Lytechinus pictus: one gene and its partner. The protein of the gene in region 2 purifies or fractionates together with the protein of the main gene of each other region. This does not show direct contact. Links are inferred from orthologs where the notes say so. Each region holds a gene or a part of one and is shown on either strand. Other genes may lie near its edges. The genes, in order: integrin-linked protein kinase-like and ras suppressor protein 1-like.

Evidence for each region.
Region 1: the proteins of ras suppressor protein 1-like (region 2) and integrin-linked protein kinase-like purify together in Homo sapiens (affinity purification with mass spectrometry; 9 studies listed by BioGRID and IntAct, counting the BioPlex papers as one, with this or other methods). This does not show direct contact. The link is inferred for Lytechinus pictus from reciprocal best matches to the Homo sapiens genes RSU1 and ILK.

What each region holds. Positions count from the first base shown.
Region 1 is NW_026974140.1:15,261,902-15,278,263, forward strand, and holds the start of integrin-linked protein kinase-like, read right to left. Parts: upstream 5,931-16,362; 5' UTR 5,203-5,930; coding exon 5,114-5,202; intron 1-5,113. Other genes in the region: mitochondrial disaggregase-like, read left to right, coding at 6,161-6,434, 9,489-9,543, 9,920-10,006, 10,426-10,529, 11,602-11,730, 12,123-12,220, 12,907-13,021, 13,514-13,591 and 1 more. UniProt on the Homo sapiens protein: Scaffold protein which mediates protein-protein interactions during a range of cellular events including focal adhesion assembly, cell adhesion and cell migration.
Region 2 is NC_087247.1:32,133,429-32,149,248, forward strand, and holds the start of ras suppressor protein 1-like, read right to left. Parts: upstream 8,583-15,820; 5' UTR 8,472-8,582; coding exon 8,363-8,471; intron 7,715-8,362; coding exon 7,664-7,714; intron 5,046-7,663; coding exon 4,925-5,045; intron 3,667-4,924; coding exon 3,548-3,666; intron 2,735-3,547; coding exon 2,652-2,734; intron 1,370-2,651; coding exon 1,255-1,369; intron 1-1,254. UniProt on the Homo sapiens protein: Potentially plays a role in the Ras signal transduction pathway. Capable of suppressing v-Ras transformation in vitro.

The DNA of each region.
Region 1 (16,362 bases), on a different chromosome or scaffold from region 2:
TAAAAGTAACTTACAGAAAATTACGGAGTTATGTGTGATAAGATTGTCTTGCACCTAAACTTTCAAAAACATTGACCTCAAAATGACCTTTGACCTTACCATGTGACCTCCGACTGCACAATAACATAATAAGTCTCCTAAGTACATCTACAACCCAAGTTTGGGTGAAAATTGACTTATGGTTGCGGAGTTATAGAGCCTTGAGTTTGGTTGAAAAGTGACATATTGTTGCAATGTTATGTGTCATGATGTTTGTGACGGACAAACGACATTTTGATCCCTTAGTCTCGCCTTTACCTCTGGTGAGCGAGACACAAAGAATCAAAGCTACATGACCATGGATCTGTTCTGTACTGTACCGGTAATTAATCTATTGTGCTTCAAGCTTTGAAACAAACTCATACAATAGCTTTTCATTATTTACTTAATGAAACCAACTTCACAGTTCACACATCACAAAAAACATTGTCAAGGAAATGTAAACAACATAAGTCTGAGGGGAATGTGTACAGTCCTCTTCTGAATAACAATTATTTCCATGATGTACCCCCTTTAATGCAGCCTTGTGATGATATGGCTGTTGTATAGTTGGCATACCTTCGCTGCTACATCATCGGCCTGAAAATGATTTGATGTATCTCCCACATGTCAGGATTGTTAACAAGCCAAGCAGCAAGCTACTACCAACTAACAGGGAGGGAAAGATGAAATTTCATGATACAGGATATACGTGCCTACTGTGTTCAATGAACAGAAGCGATCTTAAGATTAAAGAGAAGTCGACATGGTATCAGTAATCATAACATTAAAGGGATGGTCCGGGCTGAACGTATTTATAGCTTAATAAATAGAGTAGAATTGTCTGAGCAAAATGCTGAAAATTTCATCAAAATCTGATAACAAATAACAAAGTTATTTAATTTTAAAGTTTAGCAATATTTTGTGAAAACAGTCGTCATGAATATTCATTAGGTGAGCTGATGATGTCACATCCCCACTTGTTCTTTTGTATTTTATTATATGAAATTAGGTTTATTCAAATTTTTCCTCCAAGAACTAGAAAAATTGGATTGACAACTGATTAAGTGCATTAGATATTTATTGCTGCAACTTATTTCATTATAAGGGGGACATATTATTCACACAAGTATGAAATAATGAAAAAGTTATGATAAGAAAACGGAAAGTGGGGATGTGACATCATCAGCCCACCTAATGAATATTCATGACAACTGTTTTCACAAAATATTGCTAAACTTGAAACTTCAATAACTTTATTATTTGTTATCCGACTTTGATGAAATTTTCGCCATTTTGCTCAGTGAATTTTACTCTATGTATTAAGATATGAATATTTTCAGCCTGGACCATCCCTTTAATAAGAGACCACAATAGGCCTGGTGGGTGTTTCATAAAGCTGTTCGTAAGTTAAGAGCGACTTTAAGAATGACTGGTGATCCTTTCTTGTGGTAAGTGATATTCACCATTAAATGTTCACTGGTGATTATTTAGCGCATACTACGGGATCACCAGTCGTTCTTAACTTACGAACAGCTTTATGAAACGGCCCTCTGGAATACTAAATATATTACACATTTATGTTCCTATACTTTTTGTCTAGGGAATGAATTTATTTTACAAACATTTACAGTAGTACACTGTACTACTACTATATGTGAAAAAAATACATCAACTGTATTCAAATTAATTAGTTTTGTTTGTAAAGCACTTTCTGATAAGAGGTACTATAATTGTAGGTCTGATTCTTTACAAGAATATATGTCTGCCTGATATGTTATCGTATACTCATTTCTTGCTAGTACTTTATAAGTACTTACTTTCACATAAATTATCTGTAGACCTGTCAAATTACATATAATTATCAAACCAATATGGTCTAAACATAAAACTTATTTTTGTCTCACATTGAAGCCCTATGCAATGCTCTAAAAATGTAATGTTTAATTTAGAATATTTTATGTTTGGTCAATAACTGATTCTGTAAATATGTATCACAAACCGCTGTACAGCTTAAAATAGGGTGACAAAAATTGAAGCAGCATTCATGTACATGTACATAAAATACTGTAAATGTAGATTGTATTTATATAATCCATTCAGTTATTTTTCACAATTCAACAGTCTGTATTTTCTTAACAATTACGTGTTTGTATAGCTCTGAAAAACTCTCCATAATGCAAAATCAATGATCCCAATGTACACTTCACTTATCAAATTTACATGTACATGTAGCACTTAATTTTTGTTCTATGCAGGCAAAATTTAAACCATCTTTAATGCTAAGGAAATACTGAATGCATTGTGGGTAGAGATAGGAAATATGAAGTCTAATATGATCTATCCATGAACAAAACAAACATCCTGTATTTTTTGCCACACCTTTGCTGTAATGGGAAAAAGGAATCTTTCAAGTAATCTGTGAAATACAAATCAGCTTACAATTTTTGTTCTCTTAGAATTAAAGGGGAAGTTCACCCTGAAGAAAACTTTGTTGTAAAAATAGCAGAAAAAATAGTAAAAAATATTGGTGAAGATTTGAGGAAAATCCGTTAAAGAGTAAGAAAGTTATTAGAGTTCAAAGTTTTGGATTTGTGACGTCATAGACGAGCAGCTGCCCCATGTGTTACGTAATATAAAATGCATGAATTTCAAATTTTGCATGGTTCCTGATGACTTATTTTTGTTTTTTATTCAAGATCAGGTGTGAAATGATTTGTCTATTGATATACAAAAAGTAAAGTGAAAACCATTTTCAATTTTCTGAGAAAATGACATTTCATTGATTTTTTACCATTCGCTATGTAGGAATGCTGCTCGCATATGACGTCACAAATCAAATAATTGGAATTCTAATAACTTTTTAACTATTTGATGAATTTTTCTCAAACCTTCGGCAATATTTTTAATCATTTTTTCTGCTATTTTTACAATAAACTTTTTGTCAGGGTGGACTTCCCCTTTAAAACAAATATCCAAGATGGCAAACTTCTTTATGACAGAACATGTGTTTTCTCCATGCTTATTTAATGTGGAAAAACTGTCGAGCAATGTCCCCATTTTTAAAACACATAGGCCTGAATTTACAAAGGTGGTTTCATTTAAAACCATGGTTTTAGAAACCGTGGGTTTTAGAAACCATGGTTTTTGCAAAAACCACTTTTGTGAATTTGGGCCATACATTGTACATGTAGAGTACCAAATGTTCTGGTATTTTAGAAGTGAACATGTAATGTGCTACAATGCAGCATTTGAAGAGGACTTGATCAACTTGACAGTCTTTAAACAAATTCTTTGAGATTGATTTTCATGGTAGACACAGAGGTCATACATGTAGCATGAAATTAAAAAAAAAAGCACAGAAGCAATAATGCCTTTCCAAAATGATTGCAATCATGCATCTATATTCTATTGTAATATGAATATGCTCAAATCAGCTATTGAGAGGCACTGGAAAAATCATCCACTAGAATTTTTACCCTACCATTATCATAGACTATCCAACTTAATGAGGGGCAAATAAGCTACATTACATCCAAGTAAGTATATCTGGCATCCAGTCATGAAGAGGGTACAGTTTACTCGCAACAGTGCCCAAGAGAAAATGTACTTTGCAAGGATAAGTTACAAATCTACTCAATATTTTTCTTCTTGTAAAATGTTTAATTGACCTGGCAATACAACGTCTTGTTTGCTTTCAAACATTCATGTTGATCATGTTACACTAGCCTAGGTATAAAGCTCTCTCAAACAAAATGAACTTAACCATGCCTGTTACGTTAGAATGTATCATGGTATCTAATGGTAATTTTAATAGAATCCTTAGACCATAGAGCTATTAACAGCTCCATGTTTATCATTGGCTGTTGAGCCCTTTTCCTAGATGTATGGATGACAAATTTATCATACAGTACATACATGTACAGTACTAAGAATTTTCAAGAACACGGAGCAGGACAAAGAGTAGGTACTACAAAAATCTCAGACAAAGTCAGAGTCTCTGAAGTGTACATGTACGTATATTTTCATGGTATGTACATGTACATGTACATGGGGTCCAGTCAGAGGATGTTACCACTTGTTGCAATCTTTGTAAAATTTAAACTTTTATTACACTAAAATGGAAGACATTCCTTCACTATATCAAGATACCATCATGTAGCATTCTTCATATTTTTTATGCAAACAAGTGAAACACTCTCTAGATCTGCCCTAACTACATGTAGATATCTTAGATTAAAAAATAAGTCTCTGATAAAATAAAACCAATTTAGCCCAATCGTTTTTTTATGATCATGTCTTTAATATAAAGATTGAAAAGAATTTCCCCCTTTTTTTACTATGGCACACTTACTTATAAAAAATAAAGGCCCTCTATTTCTTAAAATACAGTCTTGGGTTTAAATACACAAACCTTTTCTTTCTGAAAAAAAAGTAAGCCCTGAACAAAGGAAAATCATCAATGAAATTCCATTTACAAAGTTATTATGTTCACATCTAGAAGATGAGACACAAAAAAATTTAGAAAAATATTGCATTGATCCATTATTAATGTACCGGTATGTAGGTCAAGAGCAAAATTTGTTGATAGTGCCAGAACTTGTATAACTTTGTAATTGTGATCCAGACAATTTTTATGAAGTTTGGTTGACAAGAATCAATGTAAATCAGTGACATAAAAAATTTACAGGCAATAATATAGACAAAGAAAAATAAAACATTAGCATTTGGCATCTGTAAAGATTATAAATGCAATATTGAAAACTTGAACAGATTTGAGATAGAAATAACAAGAAAACAGTAAAAATAAACAAAACTTTAAGATGATCATCAAGATAACAATTGTGCTGATGGTATTCAGAATTGATGATTACAATATGTTAACAAATGACAAGACAATGGGATATTGTTGATGATGGTACTTGGTAGATAGCTGATGTTGGATCGATAATGGGGACAATGATGCCATTGATGATGAAAGATGTTGATTCATGACATTGACCCTGATTTTAACGCTGACCTGAATTAATTTAACAATTTAACAAAATAGCAGTTCAATTTTTCTGGTTAACTTTTCTACACTAATTGTTCTTACCCTTGGTTTGGATCATTTTCAACCTTGTCCAACCAAACTCTGATGTGCACTGCATTCCCATCACGGATTTGTGAAAAAATATCATCCATTGCTGTATCAGCTCTAATAAAAGTTCCTGTGAGAGTCCTCTTGATGTCGAAGCAAGTCCATCGACTGTTCAAACAAAGTTTGAAATTCCTGTACAATTAGTCACTTGAATATCAATGTATTTATTAATTCAAGTGAATCATAATCCATTCCTATTGATATGCTTCACTGCTTTGCAGAGTGCAGATTATCGATGAGAAGCAGATAATTTGAAAAGAAAGAAGTGAAGAACGTATTATTTTCTCCACAAAGTCATGTTGACAATCCTCATAACATGAGATATGATGATGATCATACCCTGCAAATGAAAAGTTCACTGACTATCAGTATCAACTCAAGTGATGATGGATGAAAATCCAGTGACAATTACTTTAGATTCAGTTTCAATTGCGTTTGGTCCACAAATTTGAAAATCCAGTCCGAAAAGTTAAATGTGATTTCAATCAAGGAATGACAATTATTATTAAGTTTCTGTGTTGAAGTGAGTCTGACTAAGTCAGTGTCATCCAAAAATAATGCAATGTTGATCCTCTCATCAAATCACACAAACTGCTGTAGAGACCCCCGCCAAATTTGACACATCAAGTAGCAGAAAGGTCACGCACTCGAGGTAAAAACGTCTTTGGTGCAGTCAGTCGGCTATATTGCATCGGAGCTCGGAGCGACATTCACGGGCCACTCCTCCACTCATTTCTGAAGAGACTCCGATAATGGATGACCTCACGCCCACGGGGTCAAGATTCCTTGCATTCCTAATTAGGTTGCGGAATGTTTACATACAGAAAGATTGATATTTTTCTTCATTTTTTATGCCGTTATTAATAAAAATTACTTTTTGTTGATTTTAAATTAAAATTTTTAATAATTTTTCATATTTTAAAAATCTTATTAACAATATTATAGTTCTACAACAATATTTTCTAAGAACTAATCAGTGCTTTACAAACTCAACATTTCAAGATGGCAGCCTCCATCGTTTCCACGAATGTGATGAAATTACGTCTATTTCTTTTTAGTTTACGGCAAATAAGTATCGAAAAGAATGAAATTTCACAGTTCATTATTTCGAGAAGAACTCCCACACTTAGATGTTGTCTTAACGTAAGGAACTTCTATGGAAACAGGCAGATTTATCGTTTAATTTCCACTTGGCGTGTCCGGACTGCGGGAGTAGGGGCCACTGCTGCGATTGCCCTCGGGGCAGTAGCGGCGTGTGCTGAGTCCGCCGAAACGGGTGAGTTAAATGAAGGTTGTTCTGCGGCCCCGCCAGCGCCAGGCCATGTGCCCATCCCATCTCTCCCAAACAAAACCGGGCCAGGCCTGGGGATCAGGAGTTTCAAAAGAGGTTCATCTTCATAGGCTTCATGACTCTCTGGCTCTGTCGCCCTTAGTTAGACCAAAAGCTTCGGTCTCTGTTATGTTGGTTGTTCAGCTAAACTCTGTTGTCTTCACTCACCAAATACAGAGACCGAAGTTCTAGCGCGATCTGTACAGGGGACTCAATGGCCATATGTTTATGTGTATTAAGTTCGGATAAAACAGGGCAGTGAAGTTGCGCGACAGCCGAGGTAAGTTACTGTTTTTGTTCCTTTTAACTTGATTTTCCCCGTTTTTTGGCAATTAATGCCAAGAGGGAATATTAATTTGCATTTTGGTCGCATTAATTTTCAAAAGTTTGATTCATATTTAAACTTTAAAGACAAAAATTGAAGAGCCCCGACGGGGGGATTTTGCATTGTAAGTCCCCTAATGGTGGCTGCACGATAGCGAGCCGTCTGTGTATGAGGAGAAATTTAAAAAATAAACAAATGTTTAAAAACTCCTCGAAACAGACGGCTGCCAGCTGTCTATGTCGCCCTGAGCCTGAGGCCTGAAATCTGAATGGGTTTTAATTAATTTAATATTTAAATTTAAGACAGAAAATCAGAAACAATCCTTTTTTGGGGAAAGTTTGATGAAAATCCATCAACAATGAAAAGAATTAGTAAATAACGAACAGATGAAGAACTTAGAAGAGTTATTAATTGTTCTTTTTTTTTCAATTTGTGATATCGTGTGCAATTAGATTCCCCATATTTGTCAATGATGAATACAATTTTTTTTAATTGAAGGGGAATGAAACCTTTGTAATAAATAGGCTTGTGTGGAAACAGAAAAATCAAAGAATAAGAACAAAGAAAGTTTGAGAAAAATCTGACAAATAATGAGAAAGTTATGAGCATTTGAATATTGCAATCACTAATGCTAATTGCTATTGAGATCCTCCTATTGGCAATGCAACAAGCAAGTGTGATGTCACATAACTTTCCCTTTGATGGACTATAAAATACCCCTAAAATTTATCTTTTTGCTTTTTCTTATGGTGATACAAACTCTTTATCCATTATGTATTCTTTAAAAGTCTGTATTACATGCCCTCATATAGAAAGAATATATGCTCTACTGATAGATGTGAAAAAAGAGGCAGTTTAACTGAAATATATACTAAAGTAATGCCTAATGGGGAGAGTAGTTCACAAGTGACATCACAAATCTTTGTCGCATTGCCAATATGAGGATCTCCATAGCATTAGTGATTGCAATATTCAAATGCTCATAACTTTCTCATTATTTTTCGAAAAAATCAATCAAACCTTGAGGGGGTGCTGGCGTGCCGCCCAAAAAACGATTTGGGGCAAAAAGATTGTTGACCCCCAACCCATTTTCGTCAAAATTGTATATCTTGGCTTTTTTTGTGTCAATTTCTTTGTTATTTTGGACAAGGAATTCATTTTTAACAATAAAAAGATGTAAAAATGCTGTCTTTGCCCTAAAATTTAATCCTTACTTAATTTGGAGGGGGTCAAGTTGACCCCCTTTTGACGAATTTGTCACTTCGCAACTGCAAGAAATTTTTTACCTCGTCACTCAGTGACTTTTTACTTTCAAGCCTTGCACATCTTCTGAGACCAAATTTGTGATGCCCAGGTACGTGGTTCCAAAATACATGTAACACAACATTTTGTAAGTGCATGTCAGACCCAAAATTGCCCGAAAACGTGACTCCGTGTACAAAGTCAATGCAGATTGGGTAACACTATTTGCATTGACTCTGTACATAGAATCACGTTTTTGAGCAATCTATCCGATATGTATCATCAATGTAAGTTCTATACAATATAATGTAGAAATAAAACATTCCTAGGTATGAATGAAATTCATAAGAAGGAAGAAGAGAACTTCCGGTGAAAGTTTTCCAAGTAATTATGACGATGGTCAAACATCATACATATGTACTACCGGTCAGTTAGATTTCTTGGGAATATCCCTGAAAGAAAAGCCTTATGCCAATAAAAGGAGAAGAACCAGGATGAATGGGCTAGAATTGTAAACTTTGACCCAGCCAAGACGTCAGACATTTCCCAGAGTCTTGTTTCCCACTCCTTCCGGTGGAAGTGGTAGTAAAATATCTTAACCAATCAAATTCAAGGGACAAAGTGAGTGACTAGGTATTTAATGGCCAATGATATTTAGAGGGCCATATACTTCATAATACTTTCTAAGAATATTAGAGTTCCACAATTGGCATAAAATTATTATAAATAAAGCTAGAATGTGAGTCTAAATCAGAAGCTGCTGATTGTTCAACAGAGATACTACTGGTTAGAGATACTGCACAAAAGTATTAACAAGTTTTCATCTGAATACTGTATTCAGCCCTCGGTGAATACAACAACTTACAAGGTGTTGTTAGGACAATCTGATAGTCCGGATCTTGGGATTCCACATTGACAAACTTGGAATCGTTATAAATCAGTAAACACTAACGAGAAGTTGGTGTTTAGGATTTATGATCTGTAACTGAATCATTGGTCTAAGTCTGTCCAGAGACAGGAGCTGACATCAGACAGATTGTCATCGTCAGGACGCTCAAGTAAAGAAACCAAGAATCAGCGATGAAGAAGAAATAACTAAGCAACATCATTAATCATTGAATTGTATAAAGCTGTTAATATCTATATACTTAGTTTATAACCTGTAATCTTTGTTAGAATAGTTTACTATAATAAAGGTTTTCTAAAACCTAATTATTTTTGTGATTGGTATTCTGTTAACAAGTTTTCAAAAGTATGTCGGTACGTGGAACATACACTGCAGTCAAAAGATCCCAGCCACAAGGTAGGCCCAAATCTACCCTGTGACAATGTATAATTCTGAAAAAATTACAATTTATTCAATTTACATTGCATGGCACATTATGGATCTACTTGAATGTGACATCACAATGGTAATTTCTTCTTTATTACAGTGAAAGCAAGATGGTTCTATGCATCAAGAAAGGATGATGTAGATGAAATATTGAGGTAAGCTCATTTGATTTACTTTGAGTCAAAGAAAAAAAATAATATGTTGTTATGACAATGACATAATTTAAAACCAATAAAACATAGATATGTTTAAGTCATCAATTGTTTTAGGAAGAAGATCTTGTCAAAACGATGACATTTGAAGCCTGAATAAAGTTTTTGTAAATATTAGACAATATGGATTGCATTGTTTTATTGAATCAAAGCCAACAACATTTTAGTGACCTTGTTCCCTTTTTTTCACCATGGATTACTTATAAAAATTGCTTATTCTCACTCATGTTTGTCTCTCCTCTGTCTATCTATCCCCTCTTTTCCTATACTACCTCCCTTTCACTCCCTTCCAACAACTCTCTTTCACAAATACATGTAGATTACTAAGGTCTGGGTTCAATGTGAATGAGAGGCATCAACTTGGATGGACAGCTTTGCATGTAGCAGCTGTCAACAAGAATCAAAAGTAAGACCAAAGACTCATATTCTAAAGGTGTATAGCGACAAAACCTTTTTTTTTTCAGGAAATGACCATCTTATTGTGAAAATTTAGAATGATTGTAGTAGTGTACTTCCTATTCTTTATAGTCACCTAATTTACATTTGATGAATGAGACATGGTTCCCTTTAAAGAGGAAGAAGTTTATTTTGCATCAGAGGTATATCTGCATTGTAGACCTTGTAGTTGTTTTCTTTCCTTGATTTTCTGATTGTCCATATACTTGTAATAAATCAGGAACATTCATTATGCACTGCTTACATTGAGTCCACTGTTAATAAAACATTATACTTCCTTTGAATAGTCAGCTATATCATTGATTGATTCTTGAGAATGTGTTCCTGGTATTCTCTTAGAATATTTCTTTCCACCGTGTCTTATTTCAGAGCACTGAGAGCATTACTTAAAGCAGGAGCGGATCCAAACATCGGGGATGAGTTTAGCAGTGTATGGCAGACATCACAAGAGAAAAGTCTCAACTCATTACAAGGTTAGCTCTTCACATGCAAAGTTTCAAGACGGCTCCCAGAACCAGGCAGCTCCCCCAAAGGACGGTTCCCCCGACACCATTCTCACATGAATATTCCCCTTGAGCATACATGTATGTCTCATGGAGGAGAGCTCTCCATATGAAAAGTCTCTTTATACATTACGGACAAAACAACCCACTCTAACACAACTTAAAAGTCACAGGGAAGTTGCCCTCCTTGGAAAGTTGCTACATGTACATATAATATCCATAGAGCTCAGATATCCCAGGTCCCCATTGCATAAAAGCTACTGTTATGGTAACTATGCCATATAGTAGTAATATTCATAAAATCCTTGGTTGTGATCGGTTGTTCAGCTTTGTTCTATGGTAAAATGTACTTACCATTGGATTGCAAAGTTACCAAAATATTTACTGTTATGAAATCGGCTCTGGTATGTTACTTGATTACTTAAATATAAAATCACTGAGCTTCTTTCAGATTAGCCACAATTCAAGTGCTAAAAATGTAATCAATGCATTTAAGGATTAATTACACAACAGCTGAAATGTTTGGACAAAGTTACTTGAATTAACAGATACATATATGATGGACATGTTCCATGACTTTTGTTTGGTTAACAATTGCTCAAATGGAAATTCTGCTCATTTAGCAAAACTTCATCTTACATCAAACCCGACATTAACCCTATATAAAGACCCACTTTATTTTTTGAACTGAAACCCTACTACAACCAAACCCTTACACTATTGTCCTCTTAGAAATTGATACAGAAGCAACAGAGACAGGAGCAAATTTCAGGTAACCATAGGAAGATACAGCTCAATATCACTTTTCTTATAAAAGTTTAGAGATTATTTTATTTATATATGGAGTTGAAAATAGGACACCAATAATAGATGGAAGATTTATTTGTACTTTGATTGATGATCCCAGCTCTCTTATTCTGTCTATTTTTCTTATTCACTTTGAAATATAATTTGTCTAGATATGTAACTCTATATGAATGCCTGTTATTATTTTTTATTATTATTGTTATATTTTTTATAATATATATATTCTTTATTGTAGTATTATATGACAGAGAAGATGACTTCAGTGACAGACTGAACAACAGAGCTTCATTCCGTGGTTGTACAGCACTTCACTATGCAGTCCTTTCAAATGATATCAATATTGTCAGAATTCTACTTGAAGCAGGTACATGTATTAACATGATTCATTTGATATACATTGTTGAAATTAAGAATAGAAGTGCGGGCAGGACTGTTTGTGTTTGAGAAATAGTGACAGAAAGAGAGATAGGAAGAGAGCATTTTAATGCTAATTCTTGTACATTTATTTTCTTAATATCACATTCTCCATTCACAATATTTGTTATAAACTATGAATTGCTTTATATCAATCTTTTATGTGTAAATTTAATGGAAATTAATAAATCAAAATGCAAAAACATACAACTCTAAGGTTAAAAGAAGAGAAATATTAAGAATACTTTATCAACTTTGTTTGTATTGACACATCAAAATAAATTAACTTTGCAGAACCATACTTCCATGCCCCACTTCTTACTGAAACTTTTTTTTTGTCAGGTGCTGATCCAATGATAGCCAATGAGAATGGTCATACACCAATACAGTATGCCAAGGGGCAAGCAATAAAGCAGCTTCTTGAAGAATATGATAAGAAGGTGAGTACACAAGGTCAAAGTTCATAGTGATAATCACAGACAAAGTAAGAGTCAGGGTATAGTAATATTTTCATCATGATGTAAATAATTAGATTTGAAGCCTATTCTGTTACAATTGGGCAATTCCATGAAGTATGTACGTGCAATTCCCTACATGTGGATCCTTCCTGAAAAAAATTCTCTTGAGTTCTAGTTCATATGAAAAGTTGTGGTGCCCTTAAATTTGTCATGGCTTGGGCAGTGGAGCAAATAAAATGGAGAAAAGTGAGGGTCGGAGGCACAAAAGTTTGTTTTTATAAGGGATTTTCCAGTTGTTAAAATACATCATCATAATTTGTTGGGTTTTTTCCTTGATAATGTATGCAGGAGAAATTCAAAAAGCCTGTTGTTGAATGTTCCAAAAGGAATGTTACAGCATTAACACTACATCAACAAATTAAGAATTTCAATTGAATAGCAAAGAAAACTTAATTTTACTCAAAATGATATTCAGCTGGTAAAGCAATGATCCATTTGAGGCCAATATACTATTTTTTGTCTTTTTATGTTGCATTCATTGAAGCACTTCTTTGAGAGTTTAGAGCTCATTTGAAATTAAAAGTAGTAATATACCATTCAAATTCATGTCATTTCTTACATTCTGTCCTATGATATGAAGTATTTTGTGTTATATTGTATTCTGATAGTTTTCAGATCTGCAAGCAAAGAAGGCAGCAGAGGAGAGACGTCGTTTCCCATTGGAGCAGAGATTAAAAGAATTCATCATAGGACAGGATGGTGCCATAGCAACAGTTGCTGCAGGTAACTTGTTTCTAGAAACTGCAATTACTCAATAAAGATTATATTGTTTTTTCCCACACCATTTTGGATAATAGAATTTTATTACCAATATAGTTCATCTTATTGATGTGATGACATCAGAACTTATTTTTATCTCACAATCTCAATAAAAATAATTACTTTTGTACACTCTCACCTCTCAATCTTCATCAAGCCTTCATTATAGATGGTTCAGTTGCTGATTGCAACAACACCAACAAAAGTCTGAGGATAATTTGCTCCCTTTTAATGTGTGATTCCATTCTCATATTTCATTATATTGCATCTGTATGAATCCATTTACAGTGAATGAGTAATAAAGCTTGCAGCATAATGATATACAGTAAGTTCAACTCAGTAGTAAGTTAAATTTAACACAGATGTTCTTGCAATCACTCTGAAAACTGTAATTATGACATTCTTCAGAAGAATGTATTCCATGCTAATGTGAATAATTGATTTTTATCATGACAGCTATAAGGAGGAAAGAGAATGGTTGGATGGATGAAGACCACCCTTTAGTATTTCTTTTCTTAGGCTCATCTGGAATTGGTAAGAATGAATGAGAATTAACCCTAAATCTCCCGGGGTATTTTTGTCTCGCCTGCATAGCAGAGCGAGACTATAGGCGCCGCTTTTCCGACGGCGGCGGCAGCGGCGTCAACATCAAATCTTAACCTAAGGTTAAGTTTTTGAAATGACATCATAACTTAGAAAGTATATGGACCTAGTTCATGAAACTTCGACATAAGGTTAATCAAGTATTACTGAACATCCTGCCTGAGTTTCAGGTCACATGACGAAGGTCAAAGGTCATTTAGGGTCAATGAACTTAGACCATGTTGGGAGAATTATTTTCAAAATCTTAACCGAAGGTTAAGTTTTTGAAATGACATCATAACTTAGAAAGTATATGGACCTAGTTCATGAAACTTGGGCATAAGGTTAATCAAGTATTAGTGAACATCCTGCTCAAGTTTCAGGTCATGTGATCAAGGTCAAAGGTCATGTAGGGTCAATGAACTTTGGTCAAGTTGGGGGTATTTGTTGAATTACTATCATAACTTTGAAAAGTTATGGATCTAGTTCATGAAACTTGGACATAATGTTAATCAAGTATTAGTGAACATCCTGCCTGAGTTTCAGGTCACATGACCAAGGTCAAAGGTCATTTAGGGTCAATGAACTTTGGCCAAGTTGGGGGTATGAAAATTTATGGATCTAGTTCATGAAACTTGGACATTAGGGTAATCAAGTACCACTGAATATCCTGTGCGAGTTTCAGTTCACATAACCATGGTCAATGGTCATTTAAGGTCAATGAACTTTGGCCGTGTTGGGGGTATTCGTTAAATTACCATCCTAACTCTGAAAGTTTATGGATCTAGTTCATAAAACTTGGACATGGGTGTAGTTGACAAGTCTTAAGTCACCGTTCAAATGTCATTTATGGTCAATGAACGTGGTATTATGTCATTATATGAATGGTGTTTTTGTGAATGATTATTTTATAGTAGATTTCAAAGTTAGCACTGCTGCTATATTAAATCGCTTAATGCAGGCGAGACTGCCAGAGGCGTTCCACTTGTTATTCTTGTCATTCCCGGGTCTCAGCCGCGGATTGCGCAATCACAACGAAAATTTGCATGATGGTAGAGAATGACGTAATCTACGCAGTTGCATTGGTAAATTTCACTGAATTCATACATTTTTATTTTATATGAATTAATTATGCTGATTTATTCATGAAATCATACTTTTTGCTCTGATTCACTAAATAAAGCTCCTAGAATGCTATTTTTTGGTGAAAATATTCTTTATAGCATTCCTAACAATTGTGAATGAAAAAAATTCTGGTACCAAGACCGATTTCTTATGTATTTTATTGTTTTTTAAATTTCTTATGTATTTCTTTGTTTTTTTACTTTTTGTTTTTTATTGTTTTTTCGATGGAAATCGTTCCAGACTTAATTCTGATCATAAACAAGGCAAAATTAATTAAGTTTAATCAGTAAAAGTAAAAATAATGATACATTTATGAATTTTGGCTAATACACAATCTGCATTGGATTAGTACATGAAATCACGTTTATGAGCAATTTGGGGTCTGACATGCACTTACATAATGTTGCGTAATGTCGTAACCGCGTACCCGGGCGTCACAAATTTGGTCTCAAAATTTGCGCGAGACTTGAAAGTAAAAAGTCAGTGAGCGGCGAGGTCAAAAAAATTTGCGCAACAGATATATCGCGAAAATTGTCGAGGGGGGGCCATTATGGCCCCCCCCCCCCCGGAGAATTGGGGTTAAAAGAGGGTAGGTTTGGTAGTGTCAGTGTCTTAACAATGTTCTTGTGATCTCTACTAACTACTAGAGTTTTTTGCCTGTTAGCAGAATCTTTACATAATCATACTTCCTGTTTAACCTTCATGGTGGTGAGATAGTGACAAGGTATATTGATAAGAGGACAAAGTGATCTATAGACAATGAAATAATTGAAGTAAATTACTTCTAAAACACAACCCTTTTACTTATTTCTTCCCTTTTCTATCCTTTTCAATCATTGCTTTTTAATCACTTGTAAAATCACACACTGACACACAGGATGGCAGTCACCCCCCCCCCTCCCTTGTGGCACAGCCCCTAGGGAGAGATATTTCATTGTTGAATCATGAGGAAATGAAACTCCCAATCAACAGTGAATGTTTAACTTTTGGGTACATAAGGGGTTTATTTGGTGGTTTATCTGTGAATAAGCTGGTGGAATATAGTTCACTCTTCAGTTACTGTTGATTATTTTGAAAAGTATGTTACATTTACTAATAGTGTGTGAGATTTGTACTCTCTCTTAAACTATAAAGATTTAATCATTTAGAAATCAGGTACTCTCTTGTATATTAACACATGTAACTGCTCTCTGAAACAAAATTACATTGCTCAAAATGTAATGAAAGTTCAAAAGTACAAATGTGATCGTCCAATTATTACAACTCTATATCCTTTGCCATTAACCTTTGTATTTGCAGGTAAGACAGAGCTCGCCAAGCAGATAGCAAGGTACACGCACAAAAATGTGAAGAAGGGTTTTATTAGGATGGACATGTCTGAATACCAGGAGAAACATGAAGTAGCTAAGTTCATTGGATCACCACCAGGATACGTTGGTCATGAGCAGGGTGGTCAACTCACCAAGAAACTCAAGCAATGTCCAAATGCTGTGGTGCTGTTTGATGAAGTGGACAAGGCACATCCTGATGTACTGACTATCATGCTGCAACTGTTTGATGAGGTAAGGCTAACTTGGACGAGGCCTAAATATCAAATA
Region 2 (15,820 bases):
ACTTATCAACTTAACTACCTTACATAACTAAACATCCAACGTAACTACCTTACATATCTAAAATACTAGCTTAACTACGGGCATATTAACTTTAAAAATCATACTATTTACGGAAGAGATATGTCTTAAGTGCTACTTTAAAGGAACTTAGAGAAGAATGGGATCTTAAGCTAAAAGGAAGTGAGTTCCAGAGTGTAGGAGCCACAATTGAAAAGGCTCTGTCGCCATGGGTGTGGGAGGTTGCACTGGGAACAACTAAAAGGTTCTTGTTGGATGACCGAAGTGATCGGGAGGGTTGGTAGGTGTTGATCATGCTCGCGATGTATGAGGGGGACTTTCCTTGGATGCTCTTGAATGTTATGACGAGGATTTTGAAGATAATACACTTCTCTACTGGTAGCCAGTGCAGTTGCTTGAGTGATTTGGATATATCCTGTTTTCGAGGGACTTTATTGACAATTCTAGCAGCAGTGTTCTGTATTCTTTGTAGCTGAGAGATGAGATTTTGTGAATTTTTGAGAATTTCCAACAAAATTGACATTATTAAAGGCACGCAAATATACATGTAATTCTTATCAAATGTACACATATGCCTTCAACTTAAGTAATTGAAAGAATGGGTATTAATAGTAACAAGAAGGAGGTACATACAAGTAGTTCAGCTGTTTTGTAAAAGTATCCAAGTTGTGGACTTTGAGCACCTTTGTAGATTTTATATATTATTTTATTGAAGATTTAACAGTTTGGTGTCATACAGAGAGTTATTTATCATTACTTCGTTAGAAACTTGTTGTTTTCATCAGTTTTGCTTGTTTTACAATTTGAAAATAAAACAGTGGTGTTAAATCAGACTCCATGAGGGTGTATCATTCTTTTAAAGTATCTCTAAAGCATGTGGAACAGAAATGAAAATGATTACATTGAAAGTATCTGTTAAGAAGAAGAGAAAATAGAGAAAACTAATTTTTTTTATAAAAGTTGATTTAAATCAGTGATTTTTTTGAAAAAAATCAAGTGATTTAAATCGTGATTTAAATCATGATTTAAATTGACATGATTGAAATCAAACAACCCTGCACTGACAAGATGTCTTTCTCTGACAGTTACCATAGTAACAGTCAGTGGCCAGAGCTTCTCAGCCAATAAAAACCAAGGATTTCACTGAAATAGTCAGCACTGACAATTTAGTCAGTGCTGACAACTTTCATGAAACACCCCCAGATCTGGCCAATGTAAGCTATATGAGTGACTTACCCAGTTCATGGGGCAGAACTGTGATTCTGTTGCTTTGAATATGAAGCTCTCTCAATTTCGGCAGATTTCCAATGGCTTTAGGGAGGGAGATCAGGTCATTGTCTCTTACACAAAGCTAAAATGCAAAAGACATGTGACATGATTAAGAGACATACCTTCATGTAATATAAAGCTAAGGGATTGTATACTGTCTACTGAACTGAACAATCAACCTAATGCTTGTTATTCTCTCTCTAAAAAAAGTTTATTTTGAAGGTTTGGTAATTTATAATGTTAAGTTTGATATCCCATATCATCCTCACTCACACATGAGCCAAGTTTGGTATTGATCAGTCCAATGGCTCATTAGTCATTGTGAGACAGGTGGACGAATGAAAGACCCAATAAATTACATCCCCACCAACCATCAAAGGTGGGAGGAGGCATAATGAATCAGGAGTGCTTTATAATTTATTTCAATTGAATTGAATTTAATTTATCTTATTTCATTCTTCATAAAAACACATATACAAGATACAAGTAAAAAAATGATGAACATATTTACATGGTTATAGAATATAGCATTTAAGATAATAACTTAACATAAGAGAAAAACAAAGAAAACAATTTATGTTGAATGAGGGGTCAACAAAAAAGAGCAATTTGACTTGTTGAGCGTTGACCCTAAAATAAATATGTGATAGTAAGAGGGGGGGGGGGGGACAAAAACGAAAAAGTCAAAGTCGTGGTGGTGAACATACATGTATAATATTAAGTTACTGAGTGCAAGTTTAATAAAAATAATCGAAAGGAACGTTTAAAGCTATTAACAGAAAGTTGATTCTTAAGGTGGTTTGGAATAGTACTCCAAAGATGAGGACCTCTATTTGACATTACTGCCTAACTGAACTGTCTTTATTTTGTTGCTTCTGGGGGCCGTTTCATAAAGCCGTTTGTAAGTTAAGAGCGACTTTAAGAATGACTGGTGATCCTTTCTTACGGGCTAAACCATCGCCAATGAATATACCATTTAACACAAGAAAGGATCACCAGTCTTTCTTAAAGTCGCTCTTAACTTACAAACAGCTTTATGAAACACCCACCTGATCACACCACCACTACTAGGTATTTAAAATGTGCCATCTCTCTAAATATAATATATCCTTGAGATGCACCATGATGATTACCCCCAGCCTCCCCCCCAAAAAAGTCTAGACACTCAGACAGATACTTCCTTTCAATAATACGAAACATTTCATGACATTTTTCAAGCTCATCTGACAAGTTTTTATTTTTTTTCTTCTTTAACATTTTGTTAATGATTTACTAGAATTGATTGTACTTCAAATACATATTTTTAAAGTAAATAAATAATGAGGTGAAATATATCTTTTTTAAAGTATTAGTTTGTTACTCACCACTTCTAATTTGCTCAGCTGTTCAATTTCTTCAGGAAGCACTTCAAAGTCATTGTCGCTGAGATACAGTGCTCGCAGTGTGTCTATTATAGAAAGATATATTCATACAATGTTGAATAATAAAATGCAAATCAAACCAGAATAATGAGTTTATTGGTATGAAATAAAAGGAAAAAAATCATAAAGCTGTAAAGTTACACTTAACTTTACGCACGACTGCAACAAGTTCTTAGGTGCAAATTCAGCTAAATAGTCACCAATTTGTGTAAAGTCATTCATTACTTACAAACAGCTTTATGAAACACTCACCAAGAGTGACGGCAGGAATTTTAGATAAATTATGGTTTGAAAAGTGGAATCCCTTTCCTTGTGAATTTACTAAATTGGCAATTGTTATTTAGTGGATATCAAAAGTTGTCATGTGGTTACTCCCAGGGTAGTTGTGTATGAAAATTGTTCTTATTTTCTTGCAAGTGTCATTTCAGACAGAGCCAGTAAACTTACATCAAAGACAAAATATGAATACCGGTATGTGCACATAGGCAATACATAAAAGGAATTAAACTCCTGTAAATGAACATTCTGAGGGGAAAAATTCATCATGTATGTTGAAACACATGAGAAAGAAGCAAAACTTTTCCGTATCTGGGATATTACTAATTTATCCAATTTGAATTGCTTTCTAGCTCATTCAGCTTGTCTTCTTATTTTTTTCCTTCACTTTTCTTCTCCGTTACATTTAGTTTTGGAAATGTGCCTCTCACTCTTCCCTATATGTTTAGGAAGAATAATGGAAAGAATGCTTGAAATATAAATGGAAGAATTAGAACAATTAGAATAAAAGGAAGGAAAATAAAAGAGAAACAGAAAGGAGGTATATAAATTGTATAACTTACCCAATAAGAAGAAATTTCCAGGCAAGCTATTCTCATTGAGGTTGTTGTATGTGAGATCCAGTATTTCTAGTTTGGGAAATGATCCAAAGCCTCTAGGTAAGCTGTACAATCTGTTCATGCTGAAATCAATAAATAATAATAACAATAATAATAGGCATTTCTATACCACCAGCTACGTGCATCTATTATCTAATCCCAGGTACACTATTACCCCGACTTTAGCTGGAGCTGCCATTCCACTGCTAAGTGCATTCAAGGATAACACTGTGCCAGGTACCCATTCACCTCACCTGGGTTGAGTGCAGCACAATATGGGTATACTCCATGCTGAAGGATAACACGCCATGGCTGGGATTCAAACCCACGACCCTCTGATTAAAAGATGAGATTTATACCATGACATGCTCGCACAGAAGGAATCATACATGTGTCAACTGCCATGGATCTATTTTGGATGGATATTCTCCATTTTGTCAATAGATTTATTGTGAATGTCTCTGCCAATGTTGTCTCAATAACATTTTATTCATGTTAATTTAGTTTGATCTCCCAAGGTCGGCCATCCAAATAAACTTAGCAAGCCATTGTGAGAAAGCTAAAGTAAAAAAAAGAATCCCTAAAGTTTTACTTATTAAGATCTTTTGTCAGCATGAAATGTACATGTACTTGAATGGGAAAAATGTCACCAGAATGTGATTGCTTCGGACAGATCATGATGCCATTGTCTTTGAACCCCCGACTTGGGCATACTGAAAGCCGGTAAAAACATTGTAATTTATTTTAGCTTAAAATCCTTGTACTTTGATCTTATGTGGCAAAATAGATGATATAAAATTGAGAAAGTAATTCATACAAATTGAAATTAAATTGAAATGACAATGCCACCTTAATGGTAGTCTACATATGGACATTATTTGTTAAGACTCACTCACCTGCACCAATACATCAGTCTTCTCTCTTCTCACCTTCTCCTACTAGAAGGTGAAAAGAGAGAGGACTAATGTATTGGTGAAAGGTGAGTGAGTCCTAACAAATAACTCCTAATGTCCAGATCTAGACTACCTTAATGGGGGAAAAGGTTTCAATGACTGTATAAATTTGTAAAGTTTGTCAACATGACGAAAACTAAATCTTATGGGGCTCTGCAAGAAACTTATGTTCAATTCGAAATTAAGTGTAAGTCCAAAAATCAAGTTCAATTCCTATAATCTAAAAGAAAATTTGTTGTTGATTTTGCATTAAATACTTCAATTGCAACTAAACTTTCTTACAAAATGATCTTACTCTTGATTAAGGGACTTATGCCTGATTTGCAATTGAATATAAGTTTCTTGCAACAGCCAATAAGAAATATAAGTTACAATTTAAGAGACTTACCCAACATTTAAGATTTTGAGATTTTGCATCGAGCTTATATTTGTAGGTAGCTCCTCTATGTGGTTGTTGAATAGATTGAGGGATTCCAGATTTGTCAGCTCTACTATATGTGGTGGAACAACTAGATACAAAATAAATATACACGCATATTAATTATATTTCACAACTTCAAGATTTTATATAGATATATACTGTTATATTTGTGCAAAGTAAATGGTGACTATAATTAATAGTTGGGTGCTGGAGAAAGAATTCTACACTGACGTTAGGCTTGCATCAAATAAATAACACTTGTAGCATATAGAGCTACTTAACCCCAAAAGGACTGGGCTATTTGAGATGTATTGAGGACGGGGGGGGGGGGGGGCATGATGGCCCCCCTTTTGATCCCGGCTGTCGTTCGCGCGATCGCGCCGAAATTTGGCAAGAACATTCTTTACCACTTAAACTACAAGCTAGTATAAAAAAATTCTGAAAATAATTATTTAAAGGTTTCCACAGAGAAAAGTTGCGAAAGCCAATTTTTCCTTATAATGTATTTCTTTGTTTTTAGAATTCATGTATTTCTTTGTTTTTTCATCTTTTGTTTTTCATTGTTTTTTTAATGGAAATTATTACAGACCATTTAACAACTAAATTAATTAACCCTATAGCACCTACAGATTCCTATGCATAATGGCAATTACTCACTGGAGGAAACAATAAAACTGGTAATAAGTAGGCATTGTTCCAAACAAATTGAAATAGTTTTTTATAAATTTACTTTTGTTCATTACAAGTTATATTTATTTTGTAGCATAGGACCTGTTGAATAGAATGGTACATGGCAAAGTTCAATCAGATGTATGAATATTGACCTTTGACAATCATTTGCAGAGCGAGAAGAAAAAAAACAAAAGTTCGGGTTTCAGCCGCCCCAGTCCCACGCCTTAAAAAAAATGTAAAGTATCACTGACAGAATACTAAAGTTTTCGCCAAACCTTGGATCAAATATGTCAAAAATTAATTCCAACTCACATCTAGATGTCACTCTGTGTGATATTCAACGTTTTGATGAACATATAGCAACACCCGAGCTTCTTCGGCGAAGTAAGTGGTTTTCCGAGACATAGACGCAGCCATCTTTGCTGAGATCGACTGCGCAAGTCTGGAACTTGCTACACACCGATGCATGTCAATCGGTTTTTCTCTATTATACTCAATAGAAGCATACACTTTTCTATGCAGATCTATGTAGCAGCCAACCTATACGGTATGCACACGCAATATTACCACGGTAAGAGATACTATAGCGCAAAGAAAACGTACGGGCGGTTAAGGGCGGTTCAGTGTGTAATAGGAAGGGCGGTCTCGGGCGGTTCAGGTGCTAAAGGGTTAAGCAGACCAAATTAGAACGAAAAATAATCACCCTTTTATGAATTTCATCTCCCATAGACTTTGTACACAAAGTATAAAAATGAGTCATTTTCGGCATGACATTGTCTCGTAAAAAGTCACGTGACGCCACGATGCTATACCTGTATGTGGCGAATTTGGTCTCAAAAGTTGCGCAAGACTTTAAAGAAAAAAGTCATAAAATTTTGCGGCGCTATCTTTTTGCGTTTTGGAAATGTTGCGTAAAGCGTTGAGGGGGGGGCATCATGGCCCCCAGTCCTTTTAGGGTTAAAATAACCACAATTCAAAAGTAGAGTACTTTATCATTGAGGTATCAGTCAAAGCTTCATCTTTTTCTTACTTGCAAAGTCTTGCAAAAGGTTTGAATTCTTACAAGTAAATTTTAATATCAGTTTAAAGTAGAAGAGTTGCTCTTTCATATTCAAGTAAATTTAAAGTCTGATTCAATCAGCTTTGAACCAACCCTTGAAAATTGGCAGATTATTACTAGTATTTGTTACATGCACTGTAATGTTGAGGTATCTACACAGAGATAAATAGATCACCATCTACAAATTTCCCTCTTTTAACATTGCATGTTCAATTTACAAAACAGGAGATAGGAATGACCAGACCAAACCAGACAGAAGTATTTTTCAAACTTCAAACATAATATAGCCGACCTTTGGCTTGCATGAATAACAAGGCCTATTCTAAATCAAATGCTTATTAGAAATGGAATTGGAAGGCAGCAAACTGAAGGGGAAGAAAAGTAGAATGTTTTCTAAGCTTACAAAAACCACTTCCCCTGAAAACTATAAAGTCACAGGAAATCGGTAGTACACTTTTTTGTAACTGATCTGCTCTTCCTTTTCCGCAATATACTCTTACTCTAGAATAAGTTCCTCAAGAAAAGGGTGGTTTAAGATTTAATAATCATATGCAAAGGAAGTACACATCAATGTACAGTAATCTATAACAAGCTTTTTTCAAATTAGCTATTGCTTGATATAAATAATTTCACTCTTGATAAGATGAATTGCCATTTGTTAACATTACAAAAATATATACCAGAAATTTATTCTCGATATCAATAATAGTATTACTTCAATATATATCAAGAAATGGAATAGGATTAAAACTTCAAACATTAAAACAGCTTGCCATACATACACTAACGTATGCTTGCTAAATCTTAGGGTGTGACCACTCATTCTATGAACAAGGTTATGATATAACCTTGTGGGACATGATATAACCTTGTGGGACAGCCCATTTAGAGAGACAGAGAAAAATAGGTAAAGAAAGTGACAGATCTCGAAATTGAGAGAAAGAGAGGAGCAATTAAAAAATTATAGAACTTACCATCAATCTTATTGTGGCTCAAAGTCAGCCTCACAAGATTACTGAGCGAAACTGAAAGAAAATATTGAAGATAAAGATCATTCATTAACACACATTTGACATCTAACCCCTCTTAAGGAATGCCAATAAAACTCTACAGTGACTAAATTCTGAAATTCATTACCACAATATTTTTAGTATTCAGGATTTTTCGGGTGAACTTCCTTATTTTTACTAGTTGGAAAATTTACACATTTTTTTCGACAGTGAACATGAAAGTTTTAGGACTTAGACAAATGTAAATAAATTTGTACATTTTGGTTTGACTTCATCTGGAGCTAGGCTAGATGCAGAGGGCATTATTACTGTACACTCACATCATGTTAAAATTGTATTCGCAGCAGCAAAATACAAGCAGAACATACATATGTATCACTCATCTCATGACTCAGCAAAGCCAAAGCCAAACTTAAAAGAAACTGTCAAAAGAAGTGAAGTTTTTTAATTCTAGTTTATTTTTTTATGTTACAGATATGCGAGCAGATCTACCATGTTATTATGATATAAATCCCACAAAATGCCATTTCATCACAGTTTAAAAATTGATTTGTATTATTTGTTTTCACTCATCAGAAGCATTTCCAAATTACATCATGTAAGACCGTGTTATGCCTAGGCCTACACCAATATTAATGAATGGGACCGGAGAAAAATACTTACACAGTCCTGGAATGTCCTGCAGTTTTGAAATGCTCTTATCCGACAAATCGAGATCCTGGTGCCTGTTTTCTCTTGCATCATCAACCTGTTTTTTGACAGATTTAGACATTTTCGAGGATTAATTTCCAGTGATAATTATAAAAAGAGTAATATTTGGCTCAAGTCTGGTGTGAGTAGAAGGGTGTAGCTGTCAAACCGGAAGTGAATTCTTGCAGTGTAGGGAATTGGGGCGGGGTTAAGTTCAGCATATGGGGGTGGGGGTGGGGCGGGAATCGTGGTGGTGTACTGTACATCCATTTTATTTCCCAATCGACAAGCTCCTTGAATTGAAGAGCTTAAAATGTTAAGTCAAAGCTGATTTTGAATATAAATATACTGAAGAGACTACCCGGCTGTGTAAATTAAATAATTGAATAGATAAATAAACCGGGATATAATGAGTGCGTGATGTCTTTGCATTTTTTTTCATAGATCCTGAAATGGTATCATAATCATTTCAATTTTTTATTTCATTTTCTTTCTGTTTCTTATTTTTCTTATTTTTTCTTGGTCGTATATAGGCTTATAACTTTCAGTGCCCCAACCACCGAATATAGCCTGGCAAAAGGTTTATGTAAAAATAGCAGAAAAATAATAAAAAGATATTAATTGGTGAAGGTTTGAGGAAAATCCATCAAATATTTAAAAAGTTATTAGAATTTAATTTTTTGAATTGTGATGCGCGAGCAGCTTCCCCATAAGAAAAAACAAACAAATTGAAATGATTTTATTGTACCTTCAGTATATCAACAGATGGACAAATTATTTATTCGCTCCTTAAAGAAAAAAAAATATAGTCATCATCAAACATTTTAAAAAAGAAATTATTCATTTTATATTACACGACATATATAACAGCTGCTCGTATATGAAGTAACGTATACAAAAGTGTAAGAGCCCACTGAACTGAAAATGTGATATTTTAAGGACTGTTGAGGTTTATAAGATAAAATGAACAGGATTGGAAGTTGTTCTGATCGAATTTGCTCAAGTTGATTGCCCTAATAAAAATCTTCTGAGAATGACAAATAATCTATAGCCGGTATGAGGTAGAGTATTTATTTTCCGTTTACAAACGGATCGATGGATAGGCCTAGCCCATATTCAGTTTTGTCAACATAATTATGACAAATACTGTTCTTCCATGAGGTCCATATTATTTTAGCTCAAAATCTGGAGAAAATCATTATAAAACATTATTAGCATAAATTGAGGTACACAATTTATCATTCTGTAAATAATTCTGACCTTTTTGCGAGTCATTAAACTAACCAGGGGCAGCGGAGTGAAGTTGAAAGCGGGGGGGGGGGGGCACAGGGGAAAAGGGCACCTTTTCTTTCGAAAAGGGTACTATCTTTAACATGGCCGTATGCAGAAATTTTTCGCTGGGGGGGAAGGGCAGCAAGCATAAACTTTCAGTGGAAAAAATCAATAGCAAAAAATCAATGAATTTTAAATATTTGCATTATTCCGATATGAAACAGTTCTAGGCATGTCTTCATGAATATTCATTAGATGGGCTGATGATGTCACATCCCCACTTTCTTTTTTCTTATGGTATTACATGAAATCATAATTGTTTAATTTTTCATAACATGTGTAAATGACGTGCCTCCATTATTACGAAATAACACGAAAAAGGTGCAGCAAGAAATAACTAATCCGGGGGGGGGGGCAATGAAATATATTGCTGTACACATGACATGCACGCGTGAAACGAAAAACTTTTTTAGGGGATTATTTTGCACACAGAGAAAAACTCGTTTAGGGTGTGTTTGGAAATAATTTGGCCATGCGTGTGTATACAGCAATACATTTGACTGCCCCCCCCCCCCCTTCCCCGGGTAACTAATGCACTTAATCAGATGTCAATCCAATAATTGTTTTAGTTCTTGGTAGAGAAATTTTGAATTAACCTAATTTCATATGATAAAATACAAAAGAACAAGTGGGGATGTGACATCATCAGCCCACCTAATGAATATTCATGAAGACATGCTTAAAACTGTTTCACCGGAATAATGCAAATTATTTGTTATGGATCAAATTTTCAGCACTTTGCTTTAAGAATTTTACTCTATAAACATCTTCATCCCGGAGCATCCCTTTAAGGCACGTAGGATTAATTCTACAAGTTTTTTCATTCATTATGCACTTGCAGAAGGAAGCAGAACGGCACCATAAGAAAACGGGCGCTCATCGGGCACGGAAATTATCTATATCTGAGTGAAGAACAGACACCTATGAGAAGGCAAAGGGGCACTCGTTAACACATATAAAAGGTCCTTCTCATGTGAAAGGGGCACAGAACATGTTCGTGGGGGCACTTTTCTTAGGTAAAAAGGGGCACTGATATGAGAAAGGGCACCTATATAATAAGAAGGAAAAGGGGCCGGCACTTGCTAACGGCATAAAACGGGTCCTCCTCAGGTTAAAGGGGCACAGGACATGTTCCCGAGGGGCGCAATTTTAGTCTTGGGTAAAAAGGGGCACTGATACGATAAGGGCACTTACAAGAAGGGAGAATTTGCTCAAACATAAAACAGGTCCTTCTCAGATGAAGGTGGCACAGAACAAGTTTGTGAGGGGGCATTTTTTTGGGGAAAATGGCACTTATACGAAATGGCACTTGGTAACACCCAAACGGGTCCTCTTCCGATAAAAAGGGCACAGTACACGATCGTGAGGGGGTATTTTTCTTGCGTGAAAAGGGCACATTTTCAGTGCTTCAAAAAGTTTGGGGGCCGCCCCCAGGATCGTCGCCCCTGAAAGTAACTTTCTTGATATACTCTCATGATGCAGGACCGTAGGAGGGGACTTTCAATTTAGCTAACAACACTTGCAATTTAGCTAATCATGCATGGGGATTATACCGCTTTTATAAATGAATCCACACATTAACAACTATAATATGCAGTTCACGTAAAAATGGATGAGTTGCACTGAATACTTCAGAAAGCAGGTGTAATTCTGGTTAATATTTTTATCACAAGTGATCCGGGAAGAGAATTGGGACTGATTGGTTCCTAAAACTCTCGAAGTTGCGTTAAAAAAATTATGTCCACAGCAAAAACTGGTTTTAACCGGTGTACATATAGAGGACCACAATAATTTTTAAACCAGTGTTAAATTGACAGTGTCTACAGTGTCTATAGGTGTTATTAATACACCTTTGCTGGTTACATTTACACTCTTTGGTGTTATGTTCAATCTCTAGGGTGTAATTTTAACACGTCAGGGTGCATGGGCCTCTATTAACATGTACCAACTGATGGTCAAATCGTATATTTAAGTTGTTCAAAAGATGACGGGGGAAAATGGGGTTTTGAGTAATATTTCCTAATTTTAAGTGACACTGATGCAACCACATTGTGTCATTCAGATGCAGGTCTAAAAGGTGTACCCATCAATAACCGATTCTAGAATCAGTGAATGATTATATGCTCTCTGAAGGAAGTTGGAGATGCGTTCCATTTTGTGTGTTCTTTCTTTAGTAAAGAAAGATAGATGTACATGTATACATAACCAAAGAATATTCTATAGGACCCTGATGTGTGCTTACCAAATATTGCCAAATGGGTAGATTGTAAAAGGTGCCATATTAAAAAAAAAACTTGTAAAATTCATTACAATATAGTAATTGATAAAGGCTATTATACAGTTACCAGAGTGAATGTAACTATTAGCAGTGCATGTAGGATGGTTAAACACAGTGGCCCGTATTCTGAAGTCAGGTTTAACTTAGACCATGCATAGGCGGATCCAGCTTTTGGCGAAAGGGGGGGGGGGCGTACTGCCGAGCGGCGCACATATTTCATTTGCACTTCACCGGCGCCATAATGTTGAAAAAGGGGTTAAGTCTTTGCTGGGGGATAGTCTTTCCTTTACTGTTGCTAATATTATATCAGTGTATAATTTTTTTAAGCGGCGACTTCGGCGCCGCTCAAATATTAGGGGGGCGTGCGCCCCCTGTGCCCCCCTGATGGATCCGCCACTGCCATGGTCTAACTCGATCTGTGCTAAAGTTATGGGAAGCCAAAAGTGTCATTTTTTTTTATTAAGTTGTATGTTTCTTATGTTTACTGTGCTCTTTCCTGATTCATCGATGGTGAAGACAAGCTATTTATACTTCCTAGACAATTATGAATGATTTGAAAGCCAAGTGAGCTTAAATTTGATATCTCTATACTGTTAGTGATTTATGAGGCGCGATAGCTCAGTCGGTAGAGCGGTTCGACTGATTCCCAAGTGGTGCGCTATAGTGCCCTTTGGTAAGGCATTTATCCTCATTACCAGGTCCCTCGGAGAGGACCTTAAGTCGTTGGTCCCCTGGTTGCTAGCTTGCACACAGGCATTCGTGCTTTCTTAGCAGTCAGGTAAAAAAAACCTCGGTATGAATGTAACACTTGGCTATATCCATACTTAAAACCACAACTATAAACCCGAGTTTAAGTTAAACCCGACTTCAGAATATGGGCCAGTGCGTTTTACAATGTTGTGCTAAACACGACAATAATAGTTTATAGTGGGTTTTGTTGTTTGTTGTTGTATATAGCCCCGGGTGTATAGCCTAGCTATTGCATGCAACATCATGCGGTACTTAATTTATGCAAACATTTGTATTCATCATTGTAAATATGTTCATTTTTAGGGCCTATGACTGTACAGGGGCCACGGAACGGTTTTCAAAGTGGGGGGGGGGAGCTGAGCCAAAAGTGGGGGGCTGACCATGCTAAAAATCACAATCATATGGTCATTTTTACGTTTTTGTACACGGTTTTGGAAAAAAAAGTGTGGGGGGGGGGGGGGGCTGAAGCCCCCCCAGCCCCCCGGTTCCGCGGCCCCTGTGACATATTGTAAAATATATAATTTTATGTTCATTTTTATACGCATGTTCAATGTGTACGCAAATTCATTATTTATATGTTTTTGTCGAGAATTTCATACTGATCCCGATCGGGGGTCGATAGTTTAATAAAATCTTATCTTATATCTTAATTTTTAATCATTTGATGATTGTTTCTGCCTTGAAAAGTGTACGTGCAGGGGGGGGATGATTAATTGCCATCCTCCCCCTCTCCGAAAAGTGTGTGTGTGGGGGGGGGGTGTATCCCCCTCATCCCCCGGGATTAGTTGCAGTTAGTAGAAATACATGTAGGGCATAGTGATACCCCCCTCCCGTCCGCGAAATTATTTTTCCCACCGAGTTCTGGACCGACATATGAATATTCATGACTTGCGTCTTCGGATTGAGAGTACGCATGCGCGTGGACTTGGCCTCGACCAGTGCCGATCGTAAGCATTCACGTTGCTCAGAATGAATTAGCATCGTCAAATTACCGGTACCCTTACATAGTTACATAGGCCTTATAGGCTTAGATCTATATATACATCCAATTCTTAAACACTTATTAAACTAGCTGCCATTAATGGCAAGACATGTGCCCGGGGGGGGGGCACTCAGTATATAATGCATAGTGGGTATGTGCCGCGGAGGGGACCCCCGGGGGGACCCCCACTTTTACACTCAAATTTCCGTTCCGAGGCATAGCATTTTTGTCTTATTTATAAAAAGAACAAAGAAAGCCGCTCCAAAGCATAGCATTTTCTTCTTCTCGAGAAAAAAAGAAGAAAAAAATCCGCTCCAGCTATATAGGGCTTCGCATATTTTCCGTTACGCCGTTCCGGTCGCAATTTTGGTGAAAAGCGGCCGCAGCTCGCCGTCTGACCATCGCCTCTGCGCTAGCGCGCCCGGCAGTCGTGCCGCAGCCCAGCTGCATGCACGTTCCATAGGGATACATACGCACTCGCACGCAGGCGACCCGTTCCAAGGACCCCCGTTTTCACAAACATTTGTAGTTCCGAAGCCCGTTCCGAGGACCCTCCTTTTTACAATAAGCCCGCTCCAAGGCCCCCGTTTTTTGTCTCGCCCGCGGCACACCCCCACCACTTTTTTGGTCGAGTGCCCCCCCCCCCGGGGACATGTGCTAGGGTAGGGCTAGCTTAGGCTAGCGCATTAACTTTACCTCAAATCTGGACCTGTCTAATGCCTAATACTAATAGGAATAGCCGACTAATGCCATGGTTAACTTCGAACTTAATTCCGAACTTTACGTTTGATTGGGTTTGGACTAATATTAGCTTATTTACCATGGTTTAATATGTCTAGTCCGTATACAGAACCAGTCCTAGATCTAAAATAAATATCTTAGTTCTAGTCTAGTCTCTAGATCTAGACTCTGATCTACGCGCTATCAGCATGGAACCACTACTAGTGTACCAAAGGGGGGGGGGGCAGACTTTTTCAAAATGTTTTTCAAACTCATTTCAGATCACACACATATGTCCTTTTTTTCCAAAATAATATTCTTAAAGTGAATGATTTATATCTTTTCCAACTCGCCCAATTTATGTATAAACTAAATAAAAATGATCTCCCCACATTTTTTTCAAATATGTTTTGTAAAAACTCCTCCATACATGATTACCCAACGAGACAACGTAATTGTTATCATCTACCCCCAACCCGTACTCTTTTAGCAAAAAACTCTTTCGTCTTTTTTGGACCAGTGTATTGGAATTCACTGCCCAATGATTTTAAAGAATCACCAAGCATTAACATTTTCAAGCGCAAACTTAAAAAGATGCTAATTTGTCAATACTCCACACCAACAAGTCAAGCTAATATATAACTGTAACTAAACGTATTTACAACTATCATTTAATTATCAACAAATTTGTCTAATATATATTCTAAATAATGTCACTACAGTGTCCTATGACCTGTGCACCTGTCATGTTCCTCTTTTTATTTTCAGTTTTATTTGCACCACCCTTTTCTCCCCTCTCTTTCCTTTGCCTCCCTTTTCCACTCTTATAATTTCTATTAAAAATTTTATCATCATTATCGTTATCACTCCAATTATTCAAATTACTTTCCACTTTTTGTTGTCGCTTATACGCTCTATTTTGGTATTTTGTAGATTATGTATTTTATTTTTGTTTTCCACCCGTCTCTTGTATATAGGTTATGTTAATTAGTATTAGAACTATGTTTAGGGACTTGCCTTATTTACAAGCTCTGCTTTTCTTGGCAAGTCCCTCCGTTCAGATAATTTTATCTTCAATATTTGTTATGAAATGTTATAGAACTGTATGTACTATTTTGAACATGTATTTACACTTTACTTTGATTATATCTTTTGTTTGAACGGAAATAAATGAATAAATAAATAATAAATGAATAAATAAATAATAAGACATGGACATTATTTTATTCTGAGCTGGTTTTGTAATCATGAAAAAGATGTGTATCTAACTAAAAAATAACTTTGCGCTCGCTAATTCTTTTTATATACTGACCAGTAAAGGAAGCAGTTAATTACTGCATTTTAAATAAGATACATAACTCACCAATAA